Arabidopsis thaliana: one gene and its partners. The protein of the gene in region 2 purifies or fractionates together with the protein of the main gene of each other region. This does not show direct contact. Each region holds a gene or a part of one and is shown on either strand. Other genes may lie near its edges. The genes, in order: PHB4, VDAC1, PHB5 and PHB3.

What was found.
Region 1: the proteins of VDAC1 (region 2) and PHB4 fractionate together in Arabidopsis thaliana (co-fractionation; one large-scale study listed by BioGRID). This does not show direct contact.
Region 3: the proteins of VDAC1 (region 2) and PHB5 fractionate together in Arabidopsis thaliana (co-fractionation; one large-scale study listed by BioGRID). This does not show direct contact.
Region 4: the proteins of VDAC1 (region 2) and PHB3 fractionate together in Arabidopsis thaliana (co-fractionation; one large-scale study listed by BioGRID). This does not show direct contact.

The regions. Positions count from the first base shown.
Region 1 is NC_003074.8:10,074,639-10,079,256, forward strand, and holds PHB4 (prohibitin 4), read left to right. Parts: upstream 1-2,170; 5' UTR 2,171-2,265; coding exon 2,266-2,577; intron 2,578-2,885; coding exon 2,886-3,413; 3' UTR 3,414-3,425; exon of another isoform or gene 3,426-3,625; 3' UTR 3,626-3,970; downstream 3,971-4,618. Other genes in the region: AT3G27270 (TRAM, LAG1 and CLN8 (TLC) lipid-sensing domain containing protein), read left to right, coding at 996-1,068. UniProt on the Arabidopsis thaliana protein: Prohibitin probably acts as a holdase/unfoldase for the stabilization of newly synthesized mitochondrial proteins.
Region 2 is NC_003074.8:83,824-88,969, forward strand, and holds VDAC1 (voltage dependent anion channel 1), read left to right. Parts: upstream 1-1,727; 5' UTR 1,728-1,930; coding exon 1,931-1,979; intron 1,980-2,478; coding exon 2,479-2,546; intron 2,547-2,775; coding exon 2,776-2,886; intron 2,887-3,000; coding exon 3,001-3,087; intron 3,088-3,187; coding exon 3,188-3,396; intron 3,397-3,482; coding exon 3,483-3,789; 3' UTR 3,790-4,247; downstream 4,248-5,146. Other genes in the region: AT3G01270 (Pectate lyase family protein), read right to left, coding at 1-474, 701-897; HIR2 (SPFH/Band 7/PHB domain-containing membrane-associated protein family), read right to left, coding at 4,429-4,787, 4,870-5,058. UniProt on the Arabidopsis thaliana protein: Forms a channel through the mitochondrial outer membrane that allows diffusion of small hydrophilic molecules. The channel adopts an open conformation at low or zero membrane potential and a closed conformation at potentials above 30-40 mV.
Region 3 is NC_003076.8:4,611,282-4,614,898, forward strand, and holds PHB5 (prohibitin 5), read left to right. Parts: upstream 1-1,820; coding exon 1,821-2,108; intron 2,109-2,280; coding exon 2,281-2,742; downstream 2,743-3,617. Other genes in the region: AT5G14285 (DNA-binding storekeeper), read left to right, coding at 1-163; AT5G14290 (Mitochondrial ribosomal protein L37), read right to left, coding at 931-1,329.
Region 4 is NC_003076.8:16,314,232-16,319,302, reverse strand, and holds PHB3 (prohibitin 3), read left to right. Parts: upstream 1-2,011; 5' UTR 2,012-2,681; coding exon 2,682-2,993; intron 2,994-3,192; coding exon 3,193-3,714; 3' UTR 3,715-3,732; intron 3,733-3,814; 3' UTR 3,815-4,453; downstream 4,454-5,071. Other genes in the region: G6PD6 (glucose-6-phosphate dehydrogenase 6), read right to left, coding at 4,747-4,914. UniProt on the Arabidopsis thaliana protein: Prohibitin probably acts as a holdase/unfoldase for the stabilization of newly synthesized mitochondrial proteins. Necessary for mitochondrial and cell metabolism and biogenesis.

The DNA of each region.
Region 1 (4,618 bases), about 10 Mb from region 2:
ACAACCCATTACTAAGTCTAAAGCATAGAAAACTTGGGATGACTAAACTTGGGGTGACTTGTACAATATCAAAAATCGAGATCATTGCCTCGGACAATAATAAATTCCACAAAAGTACGAGTGACTAGTGTCCACGAGACTAGTGGTTGAAAATTAGGACTTGAATTCATTCCCTCTAGAAGTTTATACAAATTTCAGACCAACTTTTTAATTAACACTTTTTTTCATTTATTTTTTCTTGAGCAAAATAAGAGAGGAAGTAAGATAGATTAAAATTTAAACAACCACAAGATAAACATGCTTTAAGATTCTAGTTAAGAGATGGATAATTGAACGAATCCAAACCAATTGGAGGGGAATGGTCTGTTAGATTTCACATGTTAGAGGTTCCTCCATGAAGTCTAGAGTTAGACTCTTTCGAAATCTCACAAAATGTAGCTTGAAGGATGAGTTTGACATCAACAATCTGTTGGTCCAATAGTAAATCTCCCAGATGGAGGTGTTGAGTTCAAAGCATGTTGGGAGGGATTTTTTCTCCTAAAAAGATGAATTTAACTTGGTGTAGGTCTCGCCAGGCTGACCTCGCCCATATTTACAAATTACAATATCATCAAAACCCGAAGGAGTAAACAAAGAGTGGTGATTAAAGAATGAAGTGTCATTTTAAATAGCTCCCACTTGTTTTTCTCTCGATCTCAATCTGACAGAAACTGATATATTCCACTGATCTTCATCGATTCATCAAAGTTTTAGATTTTAATTCAGATTTCATCTTAAGGGAGGGTATTACGAGTATAGGAATGTGATTATCATATTAATGAAAGTTGAGGTTTTAAAAATAGCTTAACCAAACAAATGTAATCTTGCCAAAAAGATATAAAATGAGTCCATCAACAAAATTTATCGGAGTTACAAGATCATCAGATTCCGAAAAGCTTTTCTGTTTATGCGAGCGGTAATAGTGTTTTTTGATGTCTCCGTCGATTTCTTTGAAGGTGGCCAAAGGCGAAACGGAGACACTATTGTGCAACAAGTTGTTCATTTGTTTCCAAACATGGTAAGCTGTAGCATGAGCAACTCCTACTAATTTCCAAAGAATTGTGGGAGCAGTCTCTGTTTTTAGCTTAGTCCAAGCCAGAATTGAAATCCAAGTAATAAAGATATAAGGCGATATCGTTAATCCTCTTCTGGTGTTTTCTGTATGTAAAACGGCGTCTTTCTTTTGATTCGAAACGGAGGAGTTTGTGAAGGGTAACAAGACGGAATGGTTCTTTATATCTGGGAGGACCAAGATGGGGAAATGTGGAAAAAGAATGAATCGTAGAGACAATGGAGGATACTGGAGGGTAGTATCATCTCTGCCAAGAAGATTCATGCTGGAGAAGCAGGCCTTGTCGGCTACAAATACTCACTAGAGTACTACATTGGAAAACAACCAAAATGGCGTAAAAGAGGGTTGGTTGATGCATGAACACTGGCTTAAGTCTTCTGATGATATTAATAACTACGAGCTGGTAAGAGTATATATGTACGTTTACTTACTTGGTTTCCAAGTTATTGAGACTCTTGAGTTTTGGTTTTTATTGTGACGACTTCTGTTGTTTTGTTTGAGTAGGGCAATTATGCTATGTGCAAGATCTATCTGAGTCCACACGCAGCAAAGAAGAAGAAAACACACGATGAAGAGATCGACGATTTAGTTCAATTTGTGGAAGCAGCCTTAGATGTTTCTTTTTATCTACTTTTGCTGTCCAAAGTCAGAGGTCTCATTGTCTTTATATAGAATTTCTTGTATATAACATTTTCCACTGGTTGTATAGAAAAATCAATTTTAGTCTTTTGTGCTTATTCACTCTAATCAAAATCTCTAATCAAGGTGAAGGAGGAGGTGGAGGAAGAACATTTTCATCTTGCTCTCTAAGAAGATCCAAAATCTCTGCAGGGTTGTTATCAACACGCTCTTCGTCTCTGTCTTCCTCTCCGGATTTAGTTTCGTTTATGGGCAAATAATCAAATTCGGGTTTAATCTTCCAAACCGTTGTTTCCTTTTATATTACATCATTTCCTTTTCCTTTTTTATTATTGGGCCGAAGTAGTTTATATTATTAATGGGCTTTAAACAAGCCCATATTCAATAATTGTCGGCCAAAAAAAACCCTCTCTTCCAAGTTCCAAAATCATTTCATAAACCCTAACAAACCCCTAAATCTTTCCTTTCTCAATTCTCTCCTTCGAAGCTTTTTTCTTGTGAGGTCAGAAAAGAAAATGGGAAGTCAACAAGTAGCGATTTCGTTTCTGACGAACTTGGCGAAGGCGGCGTTTGGGTTAGGTGTGGCGGCGACGGCACTAAACTCGTCGCTCTACACTGTTGATGGTGGCGAGAGAGCTGTTTTGTTCGATCGATTCAGGGGAGTGTTGGATCAGACCGTCGGCGAAGGGACTCATTTCTTGATCCCGTATCTCCAGACGCCGCACATATACGATATTCGTACGAAACCTCACACTTTCTCCTCCAAATCTGGTACTAAGGATCTTCAGATGGTTAATCTCACCCTTCGTGTTCTCTTTCGCCCTGAGGTAATTTCGATTTTAGCAACAATCAATTTCTCGATTCTGTGTTTGATTTTGTATACATTGGTTGTTTACAAGATCGAGGGTTTAGGATGATCGTGTTCGTTCGATTTAGCAATCATTTATCGATTCTGTGTTTGATTTCGTGGAATTTGAAGTTTGTGTACAAGATCTAGAGTTGAAGATAATCCTTATGTGTAATTTGGTTTCTTCGATGAATGTTACTCTTATTATAGAAGCTTTTGGTGCATATCTATGCTGGCTTCGATTGTTTGAGGGATTGAATAAGTTGTTGTGGTTATTTTACTGTGAAGGTTTCGCGTCTCCCGTACATTTTCCAAACATTGGGTCTTGAATACGATGAGAAGGTTCTTCCATCGATTGGAAATGAGGTCTTGAAAGCTGTGGTTGCTAATTTCAATGCTGATCAGCTCCTCACTGAGCGTCCTCAAGTATCAGCACTTGTTCGTGATGCTCTTATCAAGCGTGCCAGGGAATTTAACATTGAGCTCGACGACATAGCCATTACTCACTTATCGTACGGTGCTGAGTTCTCGAGGGCAGTGGAGGCGAAGCAAGTGGCTCAGCAGGAAGCTGAAAGGTCAAAGTTTGTGGTGATGAAGGCTGATCAAGAGAGGAGAGCTGCGGTTATAAGAGCAGAAGGTGAGAGTGAAGCTGCTCAGTTGATATCAGATGCAACAGCTAAAGCAGGAATGGGACTAATTGAGCTTAGGAGGATTGAAGCTTCAAGGGAGGTTGCGGCTACTCTGGCTAGGTCTCCGAACGTGGCTTACTTACCTGGTGGACAAAGCATGCTCTTTAATCTGAACCCTGGTCGTTGAGCTATAACATTGGTATGCTCTTTTACTTCTTTGAATAATGAATGAAAAATGGATTTGGACTTAAGATTCCCATTTAAAGGCATTAAGGTTATTCGGTTTGGTTGAACTAAGAGTGGTTATGGTTTGGTATAAACTGTTTGGTTTGATAGTAGAGTATGGTTTAGGTTTGTGGAATGGTGTGGTTTACTTGTTTGGCCTTGTTGTATTTGCAGGTGGGAAGAGGAGCTTCAGTGGAGACAAAACGACGGAGCTGTGAAGTTTATTAACGTTGATGCTCTTTTATTTCTGATGAACACGATGTGAAAAAAGATAATTGTTTTGAGCCGTTCTATCTTTTCTGACTCTAGAAGTAAAGACTATGCCATTGTTGTCGAAACCCGATCATTCCAATGAAAGGCTTCACCAAAAAATCTACCATAACAATAGTCGAAATTTGTATTGTCAAAAACAATTTCCAACACCAAGGTTGTTGTACTTGTATTATTTAAAATATAAATTAAAACATGGTAAATAAATTAAATAAAACTTTTTTATGTGGTCACTTTGGTGGCTTCGGTACATGCGGTGGCCTCTTGTGGTGGGGTAGACAAACTCTAAGTATAGTGCATTCACAAACTTTAACTTTTCCCTTCAAATTACAATTTGCTCCACCATAACCTTCGTTGTTACAACTCGTTCGGCACCTCCTAGCACCGTCTACCTTATTACACGTCTCTGGCGGTGCTTTGCTTGGATAATCATCACACAATTCCCAATTCATTGCTTTTCCTAATACAATAATTCGATCAATTACAAGTATTTATATCGTATTGATTATATATGCATATTTTTGTTTTTTTTCAATGAAAATATATTTGGTAGAAGATTTAATATTATTTACGATTTTATCTCCTTGTAGTGATTTATTTTACAGCTAAATTACAATTTTGACAAATTTCCTTAATTTTTTTTTTAAATGAGTATAAGAAGTTCCATTTTTTCAATATTTGTATATCTTGTAATTTATAAACCAAAAGTTTAACCGCAAATAACACCTTTTTTTTTTGTTGCATTAAGCATCTATCATTATAAATCAAACTTTTAGACATTTTGTTTTTCCTTTTATAAGTTTTTATTTTTCTTTGTTAATAGAGTGTTTTATGAATAATAAATCTAAGTGTCATATTGCTATATATCAGGAATTATTATTTCTAAAAATAGAAGAA
Region 2 (5,146 bases):
TGCACGTTAGCGCCACGAGCATCGATTGTCTTGTCACTAGTAATCATCAGCTCTTGGCTTAACCGAATGCTCATATCGTGCTTAAAAACGATCCATAGAGGTTCTTTCTGGATCACAGCGTGACGTAGTGTTCCAGGTCTAGGGTTCACCATATCATCGTCTCTGGGGCTCGTGACTACATAGATGCGGCCGCGTTTGCCTCCGGTGGTCCTGTAACCAAACCCACGGACACAGTGAACGAGCTTCTTGCGACGTCTGGCCCAATCAGGCTGGCAACGCCAGCATTTATCGATGGGGTTGCTTGCGGTGCAAGGTCCCGTTAGCTTGCTCCATTTTCCTTTTCCTTTTCCCTTGCCCCTACCGGTTAGGCTCCGCCTTGTGCTGTTTGTCGGACTAGAAATCATCTCAATGACGTCCTCTTCCTCGGAAGCGACCGCCTTCTCTTCCTCGGTCCCCTCGACGTCAGTCGAGTTGCTGAAGATATACACCAAACCAAAACCATCATAAATCCAACATCCTTTTTACAACCCAAAAAAAACTTCTACTAATAAATATTTGTAATTTGAATGAAATCAGAATAAACTAATCCAAACCGTTCTCTAATGATTACAATCAAGCCTGGTTAATTTCAACGAGACGACAAATCGGTAGGATTCAAAAACAATGCATATATAGATCGAGATACTAATATTTGACTTACTCGTAATGACGCTCGTGGAAGTGGTCGACGATCTCATAAGGGTCGGGATGATAAGCCATAAGGGTATGTTTACGAGCTTCATTGGCCTTGTTTACCCAATACTCATCGGTCTCATCAGCAACATTGGCTCGTATGGTCGGAATCAAACTGGCAATACATATCACACACACTAATTTGAAAAGCCTAGCCGTCTCCATTTTATTTGATTACCCCTTTCTTTTACGGAAAACAAATATCTATTTTATTTTTTAAAAAGGGGTAATCTTTTTATATATTGAAATATATGTGGAGAACTGCTAAGCTTTAAACATAGCTTTAGGTCGTTATTTCTGTTTGACCTAAAGCCTTTTTTGGTAGATGAATCGTATTGCGAAGTTTGACAAACATGAATGTTGGTGTTTAAATAATGATAAAAAAAACCTGGTGAAGAAAGTGAACTACTATATTTAGAAAAATTTCCCGTTATGTATGGAAAGCCACCATAATTTACTTGTGGACAGCTTTCTTTGTTTTCTTTTTTTCTTTTTAATTTTACATCTCCTTGTTTTTTGTTCGTTTCCTATATTTGGATATTTCTATGGAGAGACTAACATTATGATTTCGACCAATTTTAGCAACAAGAAACAATTACGTTTACATTCTCATGATGCATCTAAAAGTAGTGAAAATGTCAGACTGCTTGTAGTATAAATTGCTACCATAACGGAGACTTGACTAATCGTTTACTATATCAGCCGCTAACTAGTTGGGATATTTTTCTGAAAATAGTTTGATAAATATGTAAAAATCACGATTTCACCATCACATTCGATTACTCATTCATGACTAAAATAAAGGATGAAATAGCTAAATTTATGCGACTAATCATCAAGGGAAAAAAACGATTTTCTCATTTTAGGCGTGGAAAGAAAAATGTGTTATTAAACGACGCCGTTTAGTTGCCACGTAATAAATGAGAATAAATTTCTTGGTGAGTGGGGAATAAATATATGGACGGCTGTGGATAAGGAATACTGAAGCAAGCGAGTCTCCATCCAACGGCTGATAAAATTATGCTTGATAAACAGGAAAACTCTTCTTTCTCTGATAATATTCGGAAATAAAAAACATTTTAGGGTTTTCCTCAGTCTCTCTCTCTTATAGACGCCAACCACGTTTTCCAGCTCTTGTTCTTTCGATTCTCAGAGAAGACTTTTCAGAACATCCTCCAACTTTCTCAGATAAGCAACAATGGTGAAAGGTCCCGGTCTCTACACCGAAATCGGCAAAAAGGCCAGAGGTATCTTTTTATTATCTCCCTCACTTCTTCTCTTTCATTTCGTTCAATTAAATCTGTTTATGGCGTAGACGATCTGATTGTTGCTACTTAGTGTCCCGTTCTGTCTTCTAATCTGGACTTTCTTTTGATTCCTTAGGATTTTTGATTCATTTGCTCATCTCTTAGATTTTCCTTTTCCCGGTCCCGATTTGGCTACCGGGATAGATCATAGATGCATGCGTAGATTTCGAGTATTCGATCGGGTAGAGATTCATAAGTAATGGATTTCAATCATTGGTGCTGATATGAGTAATTCCTTGGGTTCAATGTCTCCGTCACTCTCGTTTAAGCTCTCTACCTTTCTCAATAGACCCTGTTTTGTTTATCGTTGATCTGGAATAGCCAATTTGAATGCTGTGATTCTCTTTCATGTTTAGCATTTCTCACCATTTAAGTCCCCTTTGAGAATGTTTTGTTAATAAGCTGTCTAAAACTGTTGCTCTGCTCTGTGTATTTGCAGATCTTCTGTACAAAGACCACAACAGTGACCAGAAATTCAGTATCACCACTTTCTCTCCTGCCGGTGTTGTAAGTTTCTCATTTCATTATAGATGATTAGGGTTTATGGAATGTCGTCTTCTGTATTCTGTTTCCACTTTTGCTTTATTCATTAGCTTCTGAGGTTTGTGTCGAATTAGCATTGTTATCTTATGTAACGGATTTCTTACTTTGTTCTTATGTTTCGTGTGATGGTAAACATTGGATTTCTTCTATCTTGGGCATCGTTGCTCATAATCTGGCTCTTTCTTTGTTTTAGGCCATCACCTCAACCGGAACTAAGAAAGGTGACTTATTGTTGGGAGATGTCGCTTTTCAGTCGAGGCGAAAGAACATTACTACTGATTTGAAAGTTTGCACTGATTCTACTGTAAGTGTATTTGTGTACTCAATTTCATCTCCTGTTTTTCTTGTATATTGAGTTATAGTTTTTTGTTTGTTTGTTGGGCTACTTACCTTACAACTTTGTGTGTATTGGTTTCAGTTTCTGATCACCGCTACCGTTGATGAGGCTGCACCCGGACTGAGGTCAATCTTCAGCTTCAAGGTTCCTGACCAAAATTCTGGCAAGGTATATTTTATTAATTCAACAACATTTCTTTGTATTGTTTTAAAGTTTCATCAGTTGAGAGTTGACTTCTCATTTTTATCGTGTTTCGTCTTATAAACAGGTTGAGCTGCAATACTTGCATGAGTACGCCGGTATCAGCACAAGCATGGGATTGACTCAGAACCCAACTGTCAACTTCTCTGGTGTGATTGGCTCCAATGTCTTGGCTGTTGGTACTGATGTTTCATTTGACACCAAGTCTGGAAATTTCACCAAGATCAATGCTGGTTTAAGCTTCACCAAGGAGGACTTAATTGCCTCCCTTACTGTGTAAGTGATTTTTAGTGAGAATTCTGGATGAAAGATGGAGTTCTCAATGTTTCCATTTAATATCTTTTGATTTTGTTGTTTGTTAGGAACGACAAGGGCGATCTATTGAATGCATCTTACTATCACATTGTGAACCCGCTGTTCAACACTGCGGTTGGAGCCGAAGTGAGCCACAAGTTATCTAGCAAGGACAGCACCATAACTGTTGGAACACAGCACTCGCTTGACCCCTTGACCTCTGTGAAGGCTCGTGTCAATAGTGCGGGTATTGCAAGTGCTCTCATTCAACACGAGTGGAAACCCAAGTCATTCTTCACAATCTCTGGAGAAGTCGACACAAAGTCAATTGACAAGAGTGCTAAAGTTGGATTGGCTCTCGCACTCAAGCCTTGAAACTGAGATGGAAGAAGAAGTTGCAATAGTTTTTTTAAACTAGTTTCTTTCTACGTACTCTGTTTTTTCTCTGCTTGGTTCATGGTTTGAGTGGGCAACTACTGATCTTTCCCATTTTCCTGCCGGATTTGTAGAAGAATAAAAAGGTTGAAAATGATCATCTTGAGATGGTGATGAAACTCTTAAGATCCTCCTCTTCTGCTTCTCTTTTTATTTGCCGTGTCATAATGAAAATTGCATATTCAGATGGGCCTGTGTGTTGAGTAAGTGGACCTGTGTCCAGAGAGTTGATTGAGATGGGCTTCATTTTAGGCCCACATGTTTATCGATCAGGTTCATTCTCTTCATTATATGAAAGTGTCCTATATCGCAACATTCTCTTCATTAATCATTATATTAGTTTATCGCCACAAAGTTCACTATTCAAAGATTCGATTTTTCTCTCGCAAACAGAAATTTATATTGACTTTTAAGAAAAAATACAAAGTATATCTATCACACAACTCACAAAAGAGATAGGTACAAACATAATGACAAATCACAATAAGCACACCATTATATTAAAAGTCAAATTTACCTTTTTAATAAGAAGATACAAAAATATATAAAGAGACGACCAAGACAATTTGACTTGAGTGATTAGGAGGCATTGTTGGCCTGTAATAATCCATTTCGAATCTGCGCTGCCACGTCAGAGACGGCGCCTGGACCGTGAGGGATAAACACCGCAGAGGATTTAGAAGTTGCTCCGATATCTCTCATTGTGTCAAAGTACTGAGTCATCATCACCATGTCCAACACATCCTTCGCTGACGTCCCTGGCACGTTTCCTGCGAACCCTAGAACACTGTCTCTCAGACCGTCCACGATCGCTTGTCTCTGCCGAGCGATTCCGAGTCCCGACAGGTACTTTGACTCTGCTTCACCCTCTGCTCTTTTGATCTGAATGATTTTCTCAGCCTCTGCTTTTTCGCTCGCTGCCACTCTCATCCTCGCCGCTGTAACAACAATTGAATTCAGGGTTTTGACCATTTATTTGTTTAGATTTTGATTTAGGGTTTTACGATTTTGAGGACTTACCGGCGTTGATTTCGTTCATGGCACGTTTAACCTGTTGATCAGGCTCAATGTCGATAATTAGGGTTTGAAGGATTTCGTAACCATAAGCAGTCATGGCTTTGTCTAGCTCTTCTTCCACAGATTTGGCAATTTCATTCTTCTGCTCGAACACATCGTCCAAGTTCAGCTTTGGAACACATGCTCTGATCACTGAAAAAACAAAACGAAAATCAATAACTTGACCGGATAAATCATCACTTTCCCTAAGTATTGAGAAATGAAGAGGAGATATATATAC
Region 3 (3,617 bases), on a different chromosome or scaffold from region 2:
AGGTGGTGCTCATGGTGTGATACCTAATTGGTTGTGGATTTCTTGGGCAATTGTTGTTGGAATTGCTATTACTGTTAGTATACTTTGGATTTGGAATCTCTGGATAGAATTGTTTAGTGAAAGGAAAGCTAACAAAATCAGAGTAGACAAGAAAATTAGATAGTTTCTTCTTTCTTCTCTAGATCATTGTTTGATCTTCCTTTTCATGTACTATATATAATATATATACCATTATTATTCTCACCTTTTAGAATTCCTCTAAATGATGTATGTTTTGGAATAATAGATTTGCTTTTGGGTAAGCAGTATGTGCAAAATGCACTTTTAATTCAACTCTGTATTGTTCAGAAGTTCTTCTCTTAAGAGTTTCTTCCATACACATATGTCTTGTCTCTCTGCTACACTTGGTTGCTCACATCTTGATTCTTGATATTGATGAGAAACGTTTTCTTTATGAAGTGTGCCATTCTTGGTGAGTTATATTTGGCTTTATAACTCTCTTTGTTTACGGCCAACACCAAGTCCCCTGAAACCAGCAACTGGTAAGCCATATATTCTTTTACTTGGAAGAATCAAAAGTTAGCTGGGGAAGTGTAAGAAATTACGAAACACAGAGATTCATATCTTCGATCATTGGATTGTGAACTTTTCATGTGTTGAAGAGGATAGGAAGAGAATTGGGGACTAAACATACCATCCAAGCTGAGACATGGTGTTAGGCAGTCTGTTGTGGAAAGCTGAATGATATACCATTTGGCCAATGAATAGCATAAAATACACAAATTTAACCAATTTACTGAGAAGAGCATGGAATTAGAGAAAAATCTTTTAAGATCAAATAATCCCAAAGATAATAAGGAAAATGAAGGGATTGCTCAAACAAGGGGAATTATAAGGGACACATACAACAAGTCATTGTTGAATCTCATTTCAGTTCTTGGCCTTGATAGAATGGTTCTCCTTGATTCTAGCTCTGGTATCCAGCTTCACAAAACGTTTAAGATCATCAAAACTAAGAGTCTCAACGTTCTTCCTTCTAAGTTCGCTAAGCGCCGGTCGCTTATCAAGCAGATGCCATAAATAATCAGGGTGATCTGAATTAGGCAAGATCTTAGGGTCCAATCCATCTTTCAGAGTATTAGCACTAACAACCATACTCGATTTGATCTCTTTGCTCAAGTTCGATGCTTTTGGTGCATCATTACCTCCATCTCCCCTCCCAACCTTCTTCGCTTTACCAGCAGCTGTAGCAAATGTTCTTTGGCACACAAATCGCATTACATCTTTGGATCTAGAAATGGAATCCCCAAACATTCGAATAAGGTTCATATCAACAACCTTATACCTGCAAATTCACAAAATAAAACTAAATAAATCTACACAATCCTATAATGTTCGTTCTCGGATTTAGATCAAGATTCGAGTTTTGTCGAAGATTTTTGGGTGAGGGTTTAACTCGCAAGATAGAGATAGGTAGCGAGTGCATCGCGGGAACTGGTAAAACTTATTAAAAAGTAACGGACCGGAAAATTAAAAGACCCGTCTAAAAGCCCACCAATAGTAATGCATACAAGTAACACGTGGCAGGTATGGTTGACCGAGTGAGTAACAGAACGTGAGAAAACCGACCCGCTAAATAAGAACCCGCCCAATATAATAAGCTTTCTCCTTAACTTCTGCCTCACGCAAAAAAAAAAACTTCCTATAAAACCTCATCTCCTGCGTTCTCTAACTACTTCTCACCTATCTGACAAGAAAAGAAACCCTAAACAACATAAAAAGAAACCTAAAATCCATACAGGAGACATTCAAAGCCAATCATGCCTTGGTCAAAGTTCACAAAGGTAGCTCTAGGTCTAGGAGCTGCCATAGCGGCTGTGAGATCAACAATGTTCACCGTTGATGGTGGCCAGAGAGCTGTTATGTTCCACCGATTCGAAGGGATTCTAGAAGAACCAGTAGGAGAAGGGACACATCGTAAGATTCCGTGGGTGCAAAAGCCGTATATCTTCGACATTCGGACCAAACCCTACAAAATCAATACCGACTCTGGAACTAAGGATCTTCAGATGGTCAACCTCACACTTCGTGTTATGTTTCGCCCTGATGTAAGTTCCCGCGAATATCCAAAAAATTTCACTAATAAGATTTTGTGATATATATGTAAAATAATATATAACTGTTTTCCGTGGGTTCGTGTTAGGTTTCGCGCCTCTCGTATATATACCAAAACTTAGGTCTCGACTATGGTGAAAAGGTCCTACCAGCGATCGGGACGAGGTGGTTAAAGCGGTGGTGGCTCAGTTCAACGCTGACGAGCTCTTAACAGAACGTCCACAGGTCTCAGCTCTTATACGCGAAACGTTGATCAAGCGAGCTAAGGAGTTCAACATTGTTCTCGATGACGTGTCGATCACTGGTCTCTCATACGGTAAAGAGTTCTCACTTGCGGTGGAGCGGAAGCAGGTGGCACAGCAAGAAGCTGAGCGGTCCAAGTTCGTAGTGGCAAAGGCTGATCAGGAGAGACGAGCGGCTGTGATTAGAGCAGAAGGAGAGAGCGAGGCGGCTCGGGTTATATCGAAAGCGACTGCAGGGGCTGGGATGGGGTTGATCAAGCTCAGAAGGGTCGAGGCGGCTAGAGAGGTTGCGATTACGCTCTCTAATTCTCCCAATGTCGTCTATTTGCCAAGTGGTGGGAATATGTTGTTTGCAATGAACGGTCCAAGCAAAGTTGTTGCTTGAATTAGTTGCAAAAATATGGTGTTCAATGGTTATATTGATTTGTGTGTTTTAAGATTTTCATTTTTTTATATAGTTTCCTAGTATTGGATCACCCTAGTATACTCCAGTTGAGACTGTTCTTGCGAGTCTGAGACTCGCACACATGACACATGACACATCTACTGTTAAGTCGACATTGACATCAAATTAAACAATCACTGTGCCAATCAAACTTATGCATAGACCTAGAGATAATTAAGTAGTCCAAGTTCAAAGGTTGATCTAACCTGGATCAGTGCCCTTGGTAGCTATGGCACATACTTCCTCACTAGGGAAAATGGGAGCTGATTATCCAGCAGCTTTCGATTAGATATCAACAAACAAAATGCAAATTAGGTTATCTTAGAAAGAAAAAAAAACAAGCTATTCATCGGATCACAAGTCACAAGTGTCACCTCGAAAGAAACTTGGGCCCATCTATATTATCTTATGGGCCTTATCGACCGATTCAAATATTGCAAATTAGTGTCGTTAACCTTTTTTGAAAACATACGGCCATTAGTGACAATTTAATTAATATTCTACAAATTCGAGCAGTGTCTTCTACATTTCTTTGTAAAGTCTTTGGTTTTTAATTTTAAGGTCAAGTTCACCATGAGCGACCAAAGTTTTGAATTTTTCAAGGTTTTTATTTTCATTTTATCGTTGTATGGAGAAAGTTTCTTATATCTTCATTTGAACATTGAATAGAATTATTAAACATTATAATTCAAGGTAGGATGGTCAAACAATTATTCTAGATTTCCCTCTTAAATTCCCAAATTTAACATAATTTAAGCTTTTGGTAACCAAAAATCTAACATCTTACAAAATTTAATAAATGTTTTTGGCCCAAA
Region 4 (5,071 bases), on a different chromosome or scaffold from region 2:
CCAATGTCGTAAGCTCATAATCTTAGACTTGTTATGTTTATTTCAATAGAAGCGTGTAGACTAAACCGCAATTGGCAACTCGAGTGTTCCGTCTGTATCTCCGCATCGAATGAGAGATACATGCTTATGTAATATAGTTCAGCGCGGGCATGTTTGTATCTGCATTTAGTGATTGTGCAAACAAAAATCAAATGATCAAAGTAGTTAATGCCTCCAGTGAAGCATCTCGGAAGCTGTACACGAGAGGAAGTTTTCTTCAAAGAAATAATCAGTTGACTCGGTTTAATTGTTACGTGTCACCTAGTGTTGTAGGTTAAGGATGAAATTTATCTCCACCAGATTGCAAATTTATTTTTATTTACTCGTCAATCTATTTCATCTTCGTTGTATATGGTCAACGAAACTATTAGATTACAATCAATTGATTTTATAATTATTACTAAGGTATGAATAATTTCAACACCACCAATTAGCTATAGTTTCGATCTGCACTTTGACACTAAATTATAATTTTTATAATTTAGTGTATCAACGTGACATCATGTATGTGATAATTAGCTTACATTATCTTATACTAGTTTGTAAACAAATACTGGCCATTGGTGGAGGAAAATTATGTGCACTAAACAACAAATGAGCATCCATTATAGCTTAGACTAAAGAATATTTGCATTATATGTAATGAGTCTCATATTTAAGTAAATGGCAATTCTAAAATTTTTTCACTAGCTAGATAAAAACACATCAATACTTTTTATTGATCTACCATTGGTGGTCAGATGATAATTCGATTCAATGTTTAGCCTAAACATATTCTTTCTGACCGATTAAAAACCAAGTGAACGTTTTGTTTTGGTCGATCTATCCCAAGATTAGTTGGACTTTGTTCCAAATTTCTTGATGAGCAAACACAAAAGTGTAAATTGTTTCTTATTATTGTTGTCATGTACCATATATATATATTTGACAAAATAACCTAGTATAGTAGTAGTAGTATATATATAATTATATATATATATATTAATATTAGTTTCAGTTTGTTTATTTTACAATTATACACTTCTCACTCTAATTGGTTATCAAAGATTCATGTTTCCTTCACTTGGGTTGTTTCTTTTACCTGTTTCGATAATATTGATGACTACATATATATCCGGTTGGAGTCAAAATGTTGAAAGAATCGAATTTAGCTCAATCTTTGAAGTTGGCGTTTAGTTTTTGAAATTAAAGATTTCTCTGCAATATTTTAATTGAAAATCAATATTGAAGGACTTTTCTGTAATATAAATCTATTTTAAAGGTTATTTTCAAACCTGTATAAGATTCGACACCGAAACATTTGACATTTTCGATAACGTGGTGAGGTCACTGTGTGACCTTCCAAGTAAAACTCCATAATTTTCTTAGTATTCGAGACGACTTAATTGAGTCATATTAATTAAGTGATACATAATATCTCTATATTTTTTTGGTCGAAGATACATAACAATTTTACGGATAAAATATTTGGAGATTTACATGCTTTCAGATTCAGTTTTAATACTCGTGTACATCTGTCTTCAAATCCCACTTAACCGAATAGAAAAGTATTCGCGTATACTGTTTGTTGGTCAAAAAATAGTCACAAAAAGTTTTCAAAAATAGATATCATTGTTTCACAACTTTTCTTTTAAGGAAAAAAAAACACTTTTTATACTGGAAAAACTCAACAACAACGTCCCCTGCCGTTATATTTGAAAAGGATTAATCATGCTCACATGTAAATATTTTTCTTATACGAAAAAGTAGTTATCCTTATTCAACTTCGTGTTTGTCAAGTAGCTCGAAGAATATTTTTGTTCACTACCGTTGGCTTGTACTAATCTAATACTTTTATAGTAGGCCCTTAACACCATACAAATGTCCAAGTAGGTATATTCTTCAATTTTTATTTGATTAAACAAATTGAGATAAACTATTGGCGTTGACCGATCTTGGTTTTCATTGCCTCGATTTTGCTGTTTTATATTTGGTTTCTTCTTGCTGGTTGGGATGCTGTTTTTGAACTGTGAGGTAGTCTTCATTTGTTATAAGAAGAGCTGCTATCTTGATGCTGTGGATTAGAATTTCCCCGTCGTTTAGCCATTTCTGCAAGCTTTTCTTTATCTTGGATTGATGGTGGGCAATGTCTCATGTGCTAGATTCTGGTTATAGTTTTTGATTTTCCATGGTTCAGTTTCTATTTTCTTATGCATTTAAAGTAATGTTTGTTAGCTTCCCATACTTTTGGGCTTTAGTCTCCGAGGATTTTTGTTATCCGTCGACTTAGTTTTTGAGATTATCTTGTTAATCGTCAGCTTTAACTTTGTAAACTCTATCTATAATCTATCTTTCAGTAAAAAAAAAATAAAAAAAATTGAGAGAAACATAATTTATGAGACAAAAAGATATTAAACATACTCTGTAACCGTTAAGCTGTTTTCAGCCCAATGTCATGAAACCCATTATTGAATTTAGTTCTTAATAGGCTTATATAGTCACATAATAATATTGGGCTAAGTTACTTGGCCCATTAAATCATTTCCCGTGGTAGGTTCCAGAAACATATCATAAACCCTAGCAGAAACTCTTTCCTCTCTCGTCGTCTCAAATCTCTTCTTCCTTCTTCTTCTCTCTCGATTCAAGATAATCCACACGCAAAAATGGGAAGCCAACAAGCGGCTGTTTCGTTCCTTTCCAATTTGGCGAAGGCTGCTTTCGGTCTTGGAACGGCGGCGACGGTGCTGAATACATCGCTTTTCACCGTTGACGGCGGAGAAAGAGCTGTTATCTTCGATCGATTCAGGGGAGTGATGGATCAGACTGTGGGTGAAGGGACTCATTTCTTGATCCCGATTCTTCAGAGGCCTCACATCTTCGATATCCGCACGAAGCCTCACACGTTCTCTTCAATCTCTGGTACTAAGGATCTCCAGATGGTTAATCTCACTCTTCGTGTTCTCTCTCGTCCTGAGGTATAACGCATAACGGTTCTTCATTTTTGATCTAGACTCGTTTGATTTCTCTGAATTGAGGTTTTTCAGATTCATTTGCGAATTGGATTTAGGGTTTAGGGTTTTGATGATCTATGATTTTCAAAATTTGTTTCGAGGACTAGGTATTGTAGAATCGTTATTAATTTGGTGTGTTTATGTGATGTGAATTGTTGTGAAGGTGTCGCGTCTCCCGTACATCTTCCAAACTTTGGGTCTAGAGTATGACGAGAAGGTTCTTCCTTCGATTGGAAATGAGGTTTTGAAAGCTGTGGTTGCACAGTTCAACGCTGACCAGCTTCTCACTGAGCGTCCTCACGTCTCAGCACTTGTTCGGGAGTCACTAATCACCCGTGCGAAGGACTTCAACATTGTGCTTGATGATGTAGCTATCACGCATTTGTCCTATGGTGTGGAGTTTTCAAGGGCTGTTGAGCAGAAACAAGTGGCTCAGCAAGAGGCAGAGAGGTCTAAGTTTGTTGTGATGAAGGCTGATCAAGAGAGGAGAGCTGCGGTTATAAGAGCTGAAGGTGAAAGTGAAGCTGCTCAGTTGATTTCTGATGCTACGGCTAAAGCTGGTATGGGACTTATCGAGCTTAGGAGGATTGAAGCTTCAAGGGAGATTGCGTCTACACTTGCTAGGTCTCCTAATGTGGCCTACTTACCCGGTGGCCAGAGCATGCTCTTTGCCCTGAACCGTTGATCTTGATCAGATATGATGGTATGTAAAAGCTTCATCTGAATCCATAGAATTAAGTCGTTTTGTGATTTGTCTGAAGGCTTTGTATTATGGTTATGTGCAGGTTGTTTGGGAGCATTTTGCGATATTTTAATGATCAAGTTGTGAATCTGATTGAATCAAAAAGGTGAAATGCTCTTTTGTTTTGATGAACTCTGAAGAAGAAAAAGAAACTAGTTGTTTGAGTTGTCATTATTGTGTTCTGAATCTCGGCAAAATTTACTCTACCTGAAGAATCTTTGTTTTCAGCATCATGTTTATCTAATTCTCAACAAATAAATGATTTTGGCTGAACTGTAAGTAATTTGTTTGTTACACATGCGTGAGAAAAGAAAATACAGATGGTACCTAGGAGTGTTGTTCTATGCGGATAAACTATGGTCACATCTGGATTATCTAGATGGTACCTATTTTGCATAAACTGTCGATAGTCTACGTCAAATTTCGATCTGTATGGACATTCAATTGTTTTTGCATAAACAGAGCAAGTTCAGAAACAAAGCAAATAAAGAAGAGAAATCATGAAAGATAGCCTTTTCTATCGAGATCCATTTTATCCATCGGTTTTAGTTTTTTTTTTTTTGGTCATCTAATGATAATGATGACTATGTAAAGACGGCGTCGGTTCCTAGACTCAACTTATGTGTCTGTGTCAACAAACTCTAGATGGAACTTAATGTGTGTTTCAACCACCTCTAGATTGAACTTATGTGTGTATATCAACAAACTCTACATTTTTTGGCAATTTTTTCTATCTCATCGTCAATTTCATTCATTTAACGAGCACAACAAAAGCTAAATTCATTTATGGTATTGGTAAGATTTTTATTTTTATTTCTACAAAGCCGCAAATACAAGACCAAAGGAAGTGTCAAAGTGAACAGCTGAAGTAGCAAGTTTCACGTACAAACACCAAACTCGAGGAGGGACTATTCAGCATAATTTATACATATACATGTAGATACATGTATTGTGTATTTATATATATGTAGGGTTTTATAGTGTAGGAGGGATCCAGATATAGCCGTGAGTCTGAAGATAACCAGCTTTCTCTAGTAGCTGATCAGCTTCTTTCGGTCCTCGGCTTCCTGGTTTGTATGGGATTGACTTTACTTCTCCTTTGTCGATCCTGTGGAGTAGCGGCGTGAAGATCTCCCACGCAACCTGTAATAATCATCAAAATGGATACAAATGTTAGCTCCTGAATTGTATGATGCAAAAGTTTGTGTCTGGATTGTGTCTATAGTTAGAGCATTTGTAATGTAACAAAAAAACGATCTCAGAGACTGCTTTGGTTTAAGGGTGGCGTTAGAAAATGTTT